Arabidopsis thaliana: one gene and its partner. The protein of the gene in region 2 interacts with the protein of the main gene of each other region in a pairwise test. Each region holds a gene or a part of one and is shown on either strand. Other genes may lie near its edges.

The links. The genes of interacting proteins can lie anywhere in the genome.
Region 1: the proteins of BBX9 (region 2) and NF-YC8 interact in binary tests that used the Arabidopsis thaliana proteins (3 or more experiments, as listed by UniProt).

What each region holds. Positions count from the first base shown.
Region 1 is NC_003076.8:9,940,072-9,943,387, forward strand, and holds NF-YC8 (nuclear factor Y, subunit C8), read right to left. Parts: upstream 1,377-3,316; 5' UTR 1,229-1,376; coding exon 665-1,228; 3' UTR 598-664; downstream 1-597. Other genes in the region: AT5G27920 (F-box family protein), read right to left, coding at 1,992-2,237, 2,325-2,619, 2,702-2,831, 2,928-3,316. UniProt on the Arabidopsis thaliana protein: Stimulates the transcription of various genes by recognizing and binding to a CCAAT motif in promoters.
Region 2 is NC_003075.7:8,707,648-8,714,843, forward strand, and holds BBX9 (B-box type zinc finger protein with CCT domain-containing protein), read right to left. Parts: upstream 3,880-7,196; 5' UTR 3,838-3,879; exon of another isoform or gene 3,833-3,837; intron 3,530-3,832; 5' UTR 3,460-3,529; coding exon 2,971-3,459; intron 2,885-2,970; coding exon 2,502-2,884; intron 2,416-2,501; coding exon 2,295-2,415; 3' UTR 2,120-2,294; downstream 1-2,119. Other genes in the region: BBX30 (B-box type zinc finger family protein), read left to right, coding at 1,234-1,587; AT4G15260 (UDP-Glycosyltransferase superfamily protein), read left to right, coding at 6,418-7,196.

The DNA.
Region 1 (3,316 bases), on a different chromosome or scaffold from region 2:
ACTTAGATCTGGACACAAACGGTGAGAACCCTATGCAGGATACTTATGTAAGTATACATGGGAAGACATAGAAGAAGATAGAGATAGAGGGGAAAAAGAACCAAACTTTAGATCTGGCCACAATCGTTAATTTCTATGCAATTGAAGTATAAAGAGGAAGAAATAGAAGAAGATCGGCAATAAATAAACGAAAATCAATGGCTTACCTTACCAGATTCGTCGGCAAGGGGAGGATCAGAAATTAATACTTGGATTGCTAACGGCGACAAGAACGAGAAGAAGGTTTCAAGGAGACAATCAAGTTCTGGGCTTGATTGAAGAAGATGAGAGTAACCGACGGTGAACGCAATCGCCAACGACGGCGCTAGATTTTGGGAGGATATTTTGCGGTGTGAAGAAAAAACAAGATTTTTATTTTCTCATATATTACTTTTGGTGCGAGAGAATGAATATAATGTTAGCTTCTGAATATTTCAAATTTCAAACCGAGAATCATCACGCTCCCAAATAGTGTATTGTCCCCTCAATGTCTAAGGTTATACATGTAATAATACATGTGTTTCCGACAGAACATTGTATCTCATGGCTATTTCTTTAAAAAAATTAGATCCATGACTATTTACTACATATTCCCTTGAAAATACCCTAAAACGTATTCCACTTATTAGTTTCCGTCGTCACCTCCTTTTTTCCCACGCGCTTCTTCCTCCTCACCAGACACCGAGGTCCAAGCTCCAGGCCATGCCTGCATTTGTGGTTGTGGTTGGTGGATTCCAAGACTACAACAAACAGGAGTTCCAATTACCATTCCTGGAGGCAGCTCTCCATCGTCAATAGGTGGCATGGCCACAGGATCAGCAGCGGCGGCAACAGACTCTCTCTTTACCTCAATGTCATCATCAAGCAAGAAATCAAAGATAACAGTTTGAGCCACTGCGGCATCGACATTAGATTTCTGTAGCGTGACTCGTTTGCTTTCCTGAGCATGGAGCCACGAACGCATCGTGAGATCCATGATAAACATCTCACATGCTTTCGAGAGGAGGATTGGAGCCTCACTAGCTATCATAGTCACATCCGGATCATACTTCATAATCTTCTTGATACGAGTTATAGGAAGGTCGTGATTTTTGAAATCTAAGTTACCTTCCATCTCTTTTGACCAGAAACTCTTCAGTTGCTCGTTACCTTTCGGTGGCAGCTGGTTGTTGCCGTTGTTGTTCTCCATAAGATTTTTTTCTTTTTTGAAGTTTCTAGTGTTCTAGGCTTGTTATTTTTTTATTTGAAGATTTGCATATATAAAGGAAAAGCTTAAGCATAGATTAGATATGGTGGGATAGTAAGCAGGTAAACTTTTACAACAATGAATCTTAACGCATTTAGTATATTGTTAAGAATATTTAATGATATTAACATTATTTGTTTGACTAACATTATTTGGTTATTATTATAAGAAGAAAAAAGAAAGTGATTTATTTTTACTTAAAGTGTATATATTATACCAATTAATAGTGTTAGAAAAAAGAAATAAAGTAAATACAAAACTATATTTTCTCTATAAAATTGCAAGATAATTTTTTGCTGTACAAAACTTATTTTGAATTATTTAGTTAAAAAATATGTTTTCAAATGTTAAATGTGAAAGCATAATTCATATCATTGCTCGAACACAAAGGAGTTACATGTTGCATCTGATTGGTTTAGCTTTCTGTTAGACTTCAAAAACATATGATCATCAGTTCATCACATAGATCTATTACACATCAACAACTTTCTAACTAGAAATCATTACTTAAGCGTTGTCCGATCTTTTTTACCGGTTATAGCAAAATATTTTACCGCAGCAATTCACTTAAACCGATTCATTTATATGGATCCAAAACAAACCGCTACTAAAGTTTCACTGATTTTTAACATTGAGATTATAAACATCAAAAACCTACAACAGTATAAACTAACCAACACAAGAAACCGCGTTGTTCTTTATGTTTTCAGTCCCATCTAATGCGGCAACCACGAGCATGAAGCGTCTCGAGCAATTCCGATGAGAGCAAGAATCTGAGAGGTGCGAGAAGTTTAAGCTTCTTGAGCCTATTGCAACAGGCTCTTAGAGCAAACTCAAACCCTTCTACAGTCACACGGCTCAGATGAACTAAGTCAACGTCTTGAACCCGACTCAGATTGCTCATCAACATGCATAGAGCCGTATCAGACACCGAGCAATTGCACAAGTTTATCTGCCAAACAAAACACACAACACAAGAATCAAACATGTTTCCAATAGATGCTTCCAGATCTCCATCTATAAATGTTATTTTTTGTACCTGTCGTAGGTTTTTCGAGAAGTAAGCGAGCGCCCAAAAACCCGAATCATCAATATTCTCGCAGAGTTTAACGTCCAAGTAACCCAATTTCTTGCAGCCGGACGCAATGGCTGCTAAACCAACACCGGTTATATTCTTTAGCCCTCGAAGTTCGAGGTGACTTAGAAGTTCTAGCTGCCGGATTTGTTCAACCCCGGTGTCAGTTAGTTCACAGCAGTATGATAGAATGAGTCGGTTCAAGCTCTTGCAACCTCGAGATAAAGCTGCTAAACCATCATCTCCAAAACCGGCACAGCTGCACTCAAAAACCAGAAATCAGTAAGAAAACGAAACATGTCTTGCACATTTTTCATCAAGAATCCACCAAGAAAGTGTACCGGTATAGATCAAGTTCTAGAAGCTTCGAACATTTGGAACCAATATGGAAAATCCCTTTGTCTGAGATATTTGTGCAGAGTCCAAGTTTCAATCTTTGAAGATTCGAACACTTCGAGATATATTCTAGCCCTGCGGTCCCAACGGAACAAAAAACCGTAAGATACCAAAGATGACAATATCTAAAACACAAACGGAGGTTTGAGTTCACATATATCTTTCTATTACCTCTGTCATTTACACCATAACAGTCAGTAAGATCAAGTTCTTGAACAAGCATGGAGTAACATCCAAGCGATTGAAGACCTTTCTCAGTTATCAAATGACAAGACTCTAACTTTAAAGTCCCTAGATTCCGGCAAGACTGAGCTACAGCAGAGATGGCTACATCCGTCACGAATCCGCAACACGCCAGATTTAATGTTTTCAGGTTTAAGCAGTTGCGTGCAAGACTTATCATCCCAATATCCGTCACATCAACACATCTGCTCAGTCCAATCTCCATTAAAGATCTACAGCTAGAGCTTAAACTTACAAGAGAGGAATCAGAAACATGAGCTCCATCAATCCATATAGTCTTGAGATGCTTCAAACCTTTGATGTACTTTAAGAAGCTA
Region 2 (7,196 bases):
AGACCAACTCTATTTGTATGTTAAAGCGGTTCGTAGCTAGTTCACAACAAACTTTTTAAGAAAAAAATCTCTGCTTACAATACACAATTTATAAATAGTAAATAAAAATTCAGCTCAGTCTACAAAGAGATTTGACGGCATTAACCGCTGCAACCATTAGGGGATATTCAACTTTGACAGTTTCGGAGGATGTACGTCTCCTAGAAAATAAGAAATTAATTATTTTAATCGTTAAAAGAAATTACTTTAATCATGAACCATGCAAGTGAAGTTCCTTTTTTTTTCCTTTTGCGAGCAAACTCGTAATAAAATATAAAGTTAAAATAGTTAACCACCACACACACAATGACACGAAGACACCCAATAACGTAGAGACTGTCCCGACCCGATATTCAATATATTTCTGAATGCTCACATAGTCACATAATCTTTAATAATTGTAATCAGTGGGACATTGATTCTCTAACCACTTCTTCGGCGATGAATTTTTCTAGACTAAACGAGTAACTAGTTAATAGTAAAATTTAGAGTAATTGGCTGCACTGCACCCATGGCCATCATGAGTCACCTAAATTACATTAAATTGAATGTATCTCTCTTTCTTCATCTTCTTCAACGCTTCATTCCACACTCGTAGATTTTCTTGACTCTTGTATCAATTCAGATTAAGAAAAAGGTACATTTCTTTGGTAGATGTTATGACTGCTCATAAATTTATAAAAACGAACAGAAATAGTTTTAAAAAAAAAAGAAATATTATAATCTAAGTGAAAACATGATTGAAAACAAATGATAGTATGTTACACAATTTCTCGTTCATATATTATCTTTTTAAAACAAACCAAAAACTTGCACAGTAGTTTAATGAATAATCACTAATAAATTCATATACTATTATTATATACTCCCTTTTTATAGACCACAAAAATGCTATGATTCATGATTCATTCTAGAACGTGATTGTGATATGTGACAATGAGCGAGTCATACTAGTCAACTACTCGAAACTTGTGTATCAAACATGAGGACGAGAGATCGTCTGGTGGAGGGAAAATAACTAAATTATTGACAATTTGGTCCTCTAGGGACACTCACATCAAACCAATAGGTCAATATTTTTCCACGTGTACAACCAGTTTAATGACAATTTCATAATATCCATTTGCTTTAAATAACAATCATTCCTATATAAACCTAAATCTTGAACACAAGAGAGACAAAGAAAGAGTAAAGATGTGTAGAGGGTTTGAGAAAGAAGAAGAGAGAAGAAGCGACAATGGAGGATGCCAAAGACTATGCACGGAGAGTCACAAAGCTCCGGTAAGCTGTGAGCTTTGCGGCGAGAACGCCACCGTGTATTGTGAGGCAGACGCAGCTTTCCTTTGTAGGAAATGCGATCGATGGGTCCATTCTGCTAATTTTCTAGCTCGGAGACATCTCCGGCGCGTGATCTGCACGACCTGTCGGAAGCTAACTCGTCGATGTCTTGTCGGTGATAATTTTAATGTTGTTTTACCGGAGATAAGGATGATAGCAAGGATTGAAGAACATAGTAGTGATCACAAAATTCCCTTTGTGTTTCTCTGATTTTATGTTTTGTTTTTCGCGTAATTAAGATTAAATATTGGTAGGGTTTTTTCTCTGGAAATGTTCTAAGAATGTATATTTTCATTCTAAAGCTTAAAAGTAATATATGAACACCTAGAAAACATATTGATTTAATAGTAAAATAATGCGGTCCCAATAGTAAGCTATAAGAAATCAAGAACAAATCTTCCTATGGCAAACATAATCTGCCTTTATTCTTTGGCTTTATTTTTCTTAACTAGGAAAACAATACAACGTTACAAATTACAATCAAGTGAAATGGAAGGTGGAGAGTGGTCCAAAACACAAAGAAGATATATTTTTCTATGATTAACATGTAATTGAGATTAAGGAGCTATAAGTAGGAAAGAGTCAACGACTCTTGTTTTGTTTTTTGGTTTCTGATTTTGTCTGATCGTCTCGTAGCTGTATGCCTAATTAATGCCTGTATGACCGGTAGGTTTTGTGGTTGCATCAAAAAACAGTGGAAATTCTCTAGTAAAAAGAGCAACTTTCAGTTTTTTTTTTTTTTAATCTCCATTTTGGAATCACCTTTGCGATGATTTTAAGTCTTTGTAGTTTGATCTTGTATACTTTCTCAAGAAGAGAATTTTATGTTTTTTTTTTGTTACTTCTCCGACAAGAAACTGTTAATCCCGTGGATGGAGTCAGATTATTCTTTAGTTCCGCAGTGAAGATTCACTAGTTCACATCACCAGTGACGGATCATACTCAAAAGTTTCTCCAGATTTTACAAATCTCCCTTTGACCCGTTTTCTCGTATCAGCTCTGGCTTTGCGTGATGCATATCTTATTTGCTTCCCAAACCTAGAAGAAATTGGTACCACAAATATCAATGAGATTATGTTTTAAAAGCATGATAATGACTCTGATTATGTGTCTCAAAAACTTACATGCGCTTTGATTTCTTTTGTTTGTATCTCTTTTTAGCCTCATCCCTTAATTTTGGATTAAAACTAACTTCAACATTCGATTCCCATGGCGAATCTCCTATGAGAAACCCTGGTGAAATTCCGCAATCTTGGTAATCAGTCGCATTGCTTTCTCCTGTGAGGTTAGACATCGAAAGTGACATGTTCGGTACAACGTTCCCGGATAAAGTAGGAAGCAGTAATGAAGGAAGGCCAATGTTATTCTCTTCCTTAAAAGAATCCTCGTACTCGTAACATTTGGTATTGTCAAGTGATGAACATCCGATTATATCATTGCTTGCGTTGAAATTCAACGGCGCATCATCTAAGTTTATCCCTTCGCATAGATCCAAACCAGAACATTCCTGCATATAGAACGGAATATAAATGAAAAACATTCTTCTTTATCATAAATGAAACATTTTGATATATTACTTAAACAACACGTCACCTCTTCTATCACTTTTGGAAGATTAGATTCCATAGGAAAGAAAGAAGAATAGTCTTTAAGGTTCTGAGTTTGTGTAACCACGGAAGTTGATGAACCATTCCAATCGTCTAATTCCTGGAGCAGGGTATCAGAAAATGGAGAGACCAAACTTGTGACAGAAGGTTCTAAAGTTGAAGACCAGATCTTGCCGAAATCTGATGGAGAAGGACAATCAGAGTAAGGGTTCAGACTCTGAAGTCTGTGTCCTAAACCAGTGCAGTTACTAGCGGTCCACTGACATCCTTGGCAAAGAGAAACATTTTCGTTCATACAGTGTACTGCCGTGGGTTGTAAGGAACATTTCTCGCAGAGTAGAGATCGCGTGTGTCTTTGAGACAGAGGATTCGCTGAGTGTACATTAACGTCACAGTTTAAACAAAGTTTAGCCGAATCAGATTTGCAGTAGATTAATGCTTTTTCGGTTCCACAAAAGTCACATCGAGCCTCCATACTTCTTCGAAGACAAAACTCCAAAGAAATAACGATTTCTCAATCCCAATCGCTACACACACCTAAAATCCTATAGCATAGAAGGATCGTGAGACAAAAACAGAACATTCAGAGATCAAACAAAATTACGATTCATTATAGGTTCATGTATCTTTTTAATGTGTGACTGTGACTGTGACTAATACATGGTTGTGTTTGAATGTTAGAGAAACACTCACAAACTAAGAAAATGTGGATTCTCGAGACCGAATCAGTACTAAAATCACAATGTCTAGAAACTCATAACCAGTTAATTACAGAGTTTTTTCTAAACAAGAGTATAACAATAATCGTGTAAAATTGTTTATGTTTCAGGGTTCCAGAGATTAGAAGCTTTACAAGGGTGTGTGAGAGTCCAGTGAGAAGGAGATGAGAAAGAACAGAGAAGAAAAGGTTTTGCTCTGTTTTTATCCTGTGTGGGGTCCACCTTGTTAAGCGGGTTTGCCACGCGGGGTATCTTTTGTCACGTGTGGTTTTATTGTTCCTTAGATTTTGTTGATGTCATAATGTGGTTGACCATACAATTCGGAGTTTTTGTTTGATTCTTTAGGTACTTTCTGTGGCTCGCAAGAATTTCGAGAATTGTTAATAAAAAAACGTGTAAATGTCATTAATTTTGAACACGTTTTTCTTGTTATTCAAAACATCCGAGTAATAAGACTAGTTCGAAGCAATTTATTCCGAGTGTTGGTTTAATGGATCTAGGAGTTTGCAGCATACTAGTCCGGTTTCATTAACCTGTGGTTATGGATAGTTATTGTATCTATTTCTCACTAATTTTACTAAGTGTGTTTTCACAACTTAAAATATGAGATGTTAGAAGCACTTAAATGATTGAAATTCTAGTGAGCGATCATGTTTTAAGAGAGAAAACTTTGTGACAACGATTGATATTCGTTTACGATTTTTTACCAGCCTCAGTAAAAAGGCTAAATGTACTATTTTTGAAACATCTCCCAATGCATTCCATGCCAAAAAAGGCTAAATGTACTTGTAAACAATTCAACAGACAGTAACTGCTGGCATTAGCTGAAAAGGTCGCTCATGGCATGACCAGTCTGGTTGTCATTGTTTGTTTGCCAAAAGATTTCATTAGATGTCCAAAAAGCAGCTCATTCGACCAAACAATTGTTTCCTGATAAGTCAATTGTTTTGTTAATCAATTCTATAGGAACGCTAAATCCATTATTCGTCCAAAAATCAGCTCATAGTTTTCAATTGTTTTGTTAACCACTTATTTTGCAAAAGTAGTGAAGAAAACATAACATTTAAACACACCAATTGTTTTCATAAAGCCCTTCCACCAACTGAAAATCAAAGAATAACTAGCTAATCTCTTCCGGTATTAAAAAAGAGGAAAAACAAAACCAATTGATATAATGTGCGAGGCATTTCCAGGATCAAAAGGCATGGAAAAAAGCAAAAAGATCAGGATATACCACAACCAATATAGCGTCACAAGCCATTATACCTGAAGGAACTGTTTTTATCCTTCAGAATTGGTAATGGACGCCAATACAAAAACAAAAAACACTAAAACTCTTTCTTCAATAGGGCAAAATTTTTGATAAAAAATGCTCAGTGGAAGGAGAAGTCGTTTTAAAGGAGAGCTCACGGTAAACCCACTGCTCTTCTCACACTCTTCGTGCTTTCATCTCATCATTGCATCATCATCATCAAACCCATAACAGTAATCCAACAAAACAAAACAAAAAACATTGAAAGAACAAATAAGCTTCAGTGTGTGTAACAAATTCAGTTCATTGATTCAAAAACCTCACTGAAATCCGCTAAGATAATTGTTTTTATCATCATCAGCTTTATAACCCAAAACAAGTACATACAAACATCAATCAAACCTATTAACAATAATCCAACTAAACAAAAGCCAAACATTAAAAAAAAAAAAAAGCCTCAGTGTGTGTAACAAATTCAGATCATTGATTGAAAAACCTCACTGAAATCCGCTAAGATAATTGTTTTCTATCATCATAAGCTTATAAGTGGAAAAACATCAACCAACAAAAAAAAACAATAACAGAGAAATTTGTCTTCAAACCAATCAAAAGATAAGATTTTGGGTGAAAGGGGAATTAATACTCAGACAGCCAAGGGTTAATCTTCAACTTCTGGGAGAAGAATCCCAGATCTGAAACTCTAGTCCACAATACTCTTGTATCATCACCATATTCAACCCCTTCCACATCCCATAAAACTAAGACATCACAAATCTCTTTCACAAAAACCTTAAATATCACCAATTTCAACATATATACACAAACGAAAATAGTCACAGACCTAACCCTAAAATCACCTAACATATCATTCAGACATGAAAAGAAAGAGAGTTCCTATGATTTGCATTAGACGAAACCTTATAAATACACAGACACAGCAGACAATTAGGGTTTACTTCGGTCGGCGGCTACCATATCTATTTTAGGTTCTCGGCCCAATTATACTAAATGGGCCAGCTTTCGTGACCCAACAAACAACTTACATTTATTTTACTTTATTAACACATTCACTTTACAAACCCAATCAACGAAAAGTCCAAAAACGTAAAAACAGAAATGAAGAAGATTGAGCTCGTGTTCATACCTTCGCCGGGAATCGGCCATCTCCGGCCAACCGTGAAGCTAGCAAAGCAACTCATCGGAAGCGAAGAACATTTTTTCAATCACCGTAATCATCATCCCTTCTAGAAACGACGCCGGTGATGCAACCGCCTATATCGCATCCCTCGTTGCAGAGTCTCAAGATCGCCTCCGCTACGAACCCATCTCCGTCGAAAAACAACCACCAACCGCAAATCTTGAGCCGTCTCAAGTCTACATCGAGAAACAAAAACCACAAGTGAGAGACACCGTCTCCAGAATCATCAATCCAACAAGAAAACTCGCCGGATTCGTGGTGGACATGTTCTGTTCTTCAATGATCGATATAGCTAACGAATTTGGAGTTCCTTGTTATATGATCTACACATCAAACGCTACGTTTTTGGGAATCACACTTCACGTTCAAGAAATGTACGACGACAAAAAGTATGACGTCAGCGATTTGGATGAGTCAGTCAACGAATTGGAGTTTCCTTGTTTGACTCGTCCTTATCCAGTGAAGTGCCTTCCTCATATCCTTAGTTCAAAAGATTGGTTACCTTTTTTTGCAGCTCAAGGTAGGTCTTTCCGGAAGATGAAAGGTATTTTGGTAAATACAGTTGCTGAGCTTGAGCCTCACGCTTTGAAGATGTTTAACAATGTTGATCTTCCTCAAGCTTATCCTGTTGGACCAGTGTTGCATCTTGATAACGGCGATGACGACGATGAAAAGAGATTGGAGGTTTTGCGGTGGCTTGATGATCAACCGCCTAAATCTGTTTTGTTTCTCTGTTTTGGAAGTATGGGAGGTTTCACTGAGGAACAAACTAGAGAGGTAGCTGTGGCGTTAAACCGAAGTGGTCACCGGTTTCTTTGGTCTCTCCGTCGTGCATCGCCGAATATAATGATGGAACGTCCCGGAGATTATAAGAATCTTGAGGAGGTTTTACCGGACGGGTTCTTGGAACGGACTTTGGATAGAGGGAAAGTGATTGGATGGGCTCCACAAGTGGCGGTGTTAGAGAAGCCGGCGATAGGAGGGTTTGTTACTCATTGTGGGTGGAACTCTATGTTAGAGAGCTTGTGGTTTGGTGTTCCGAT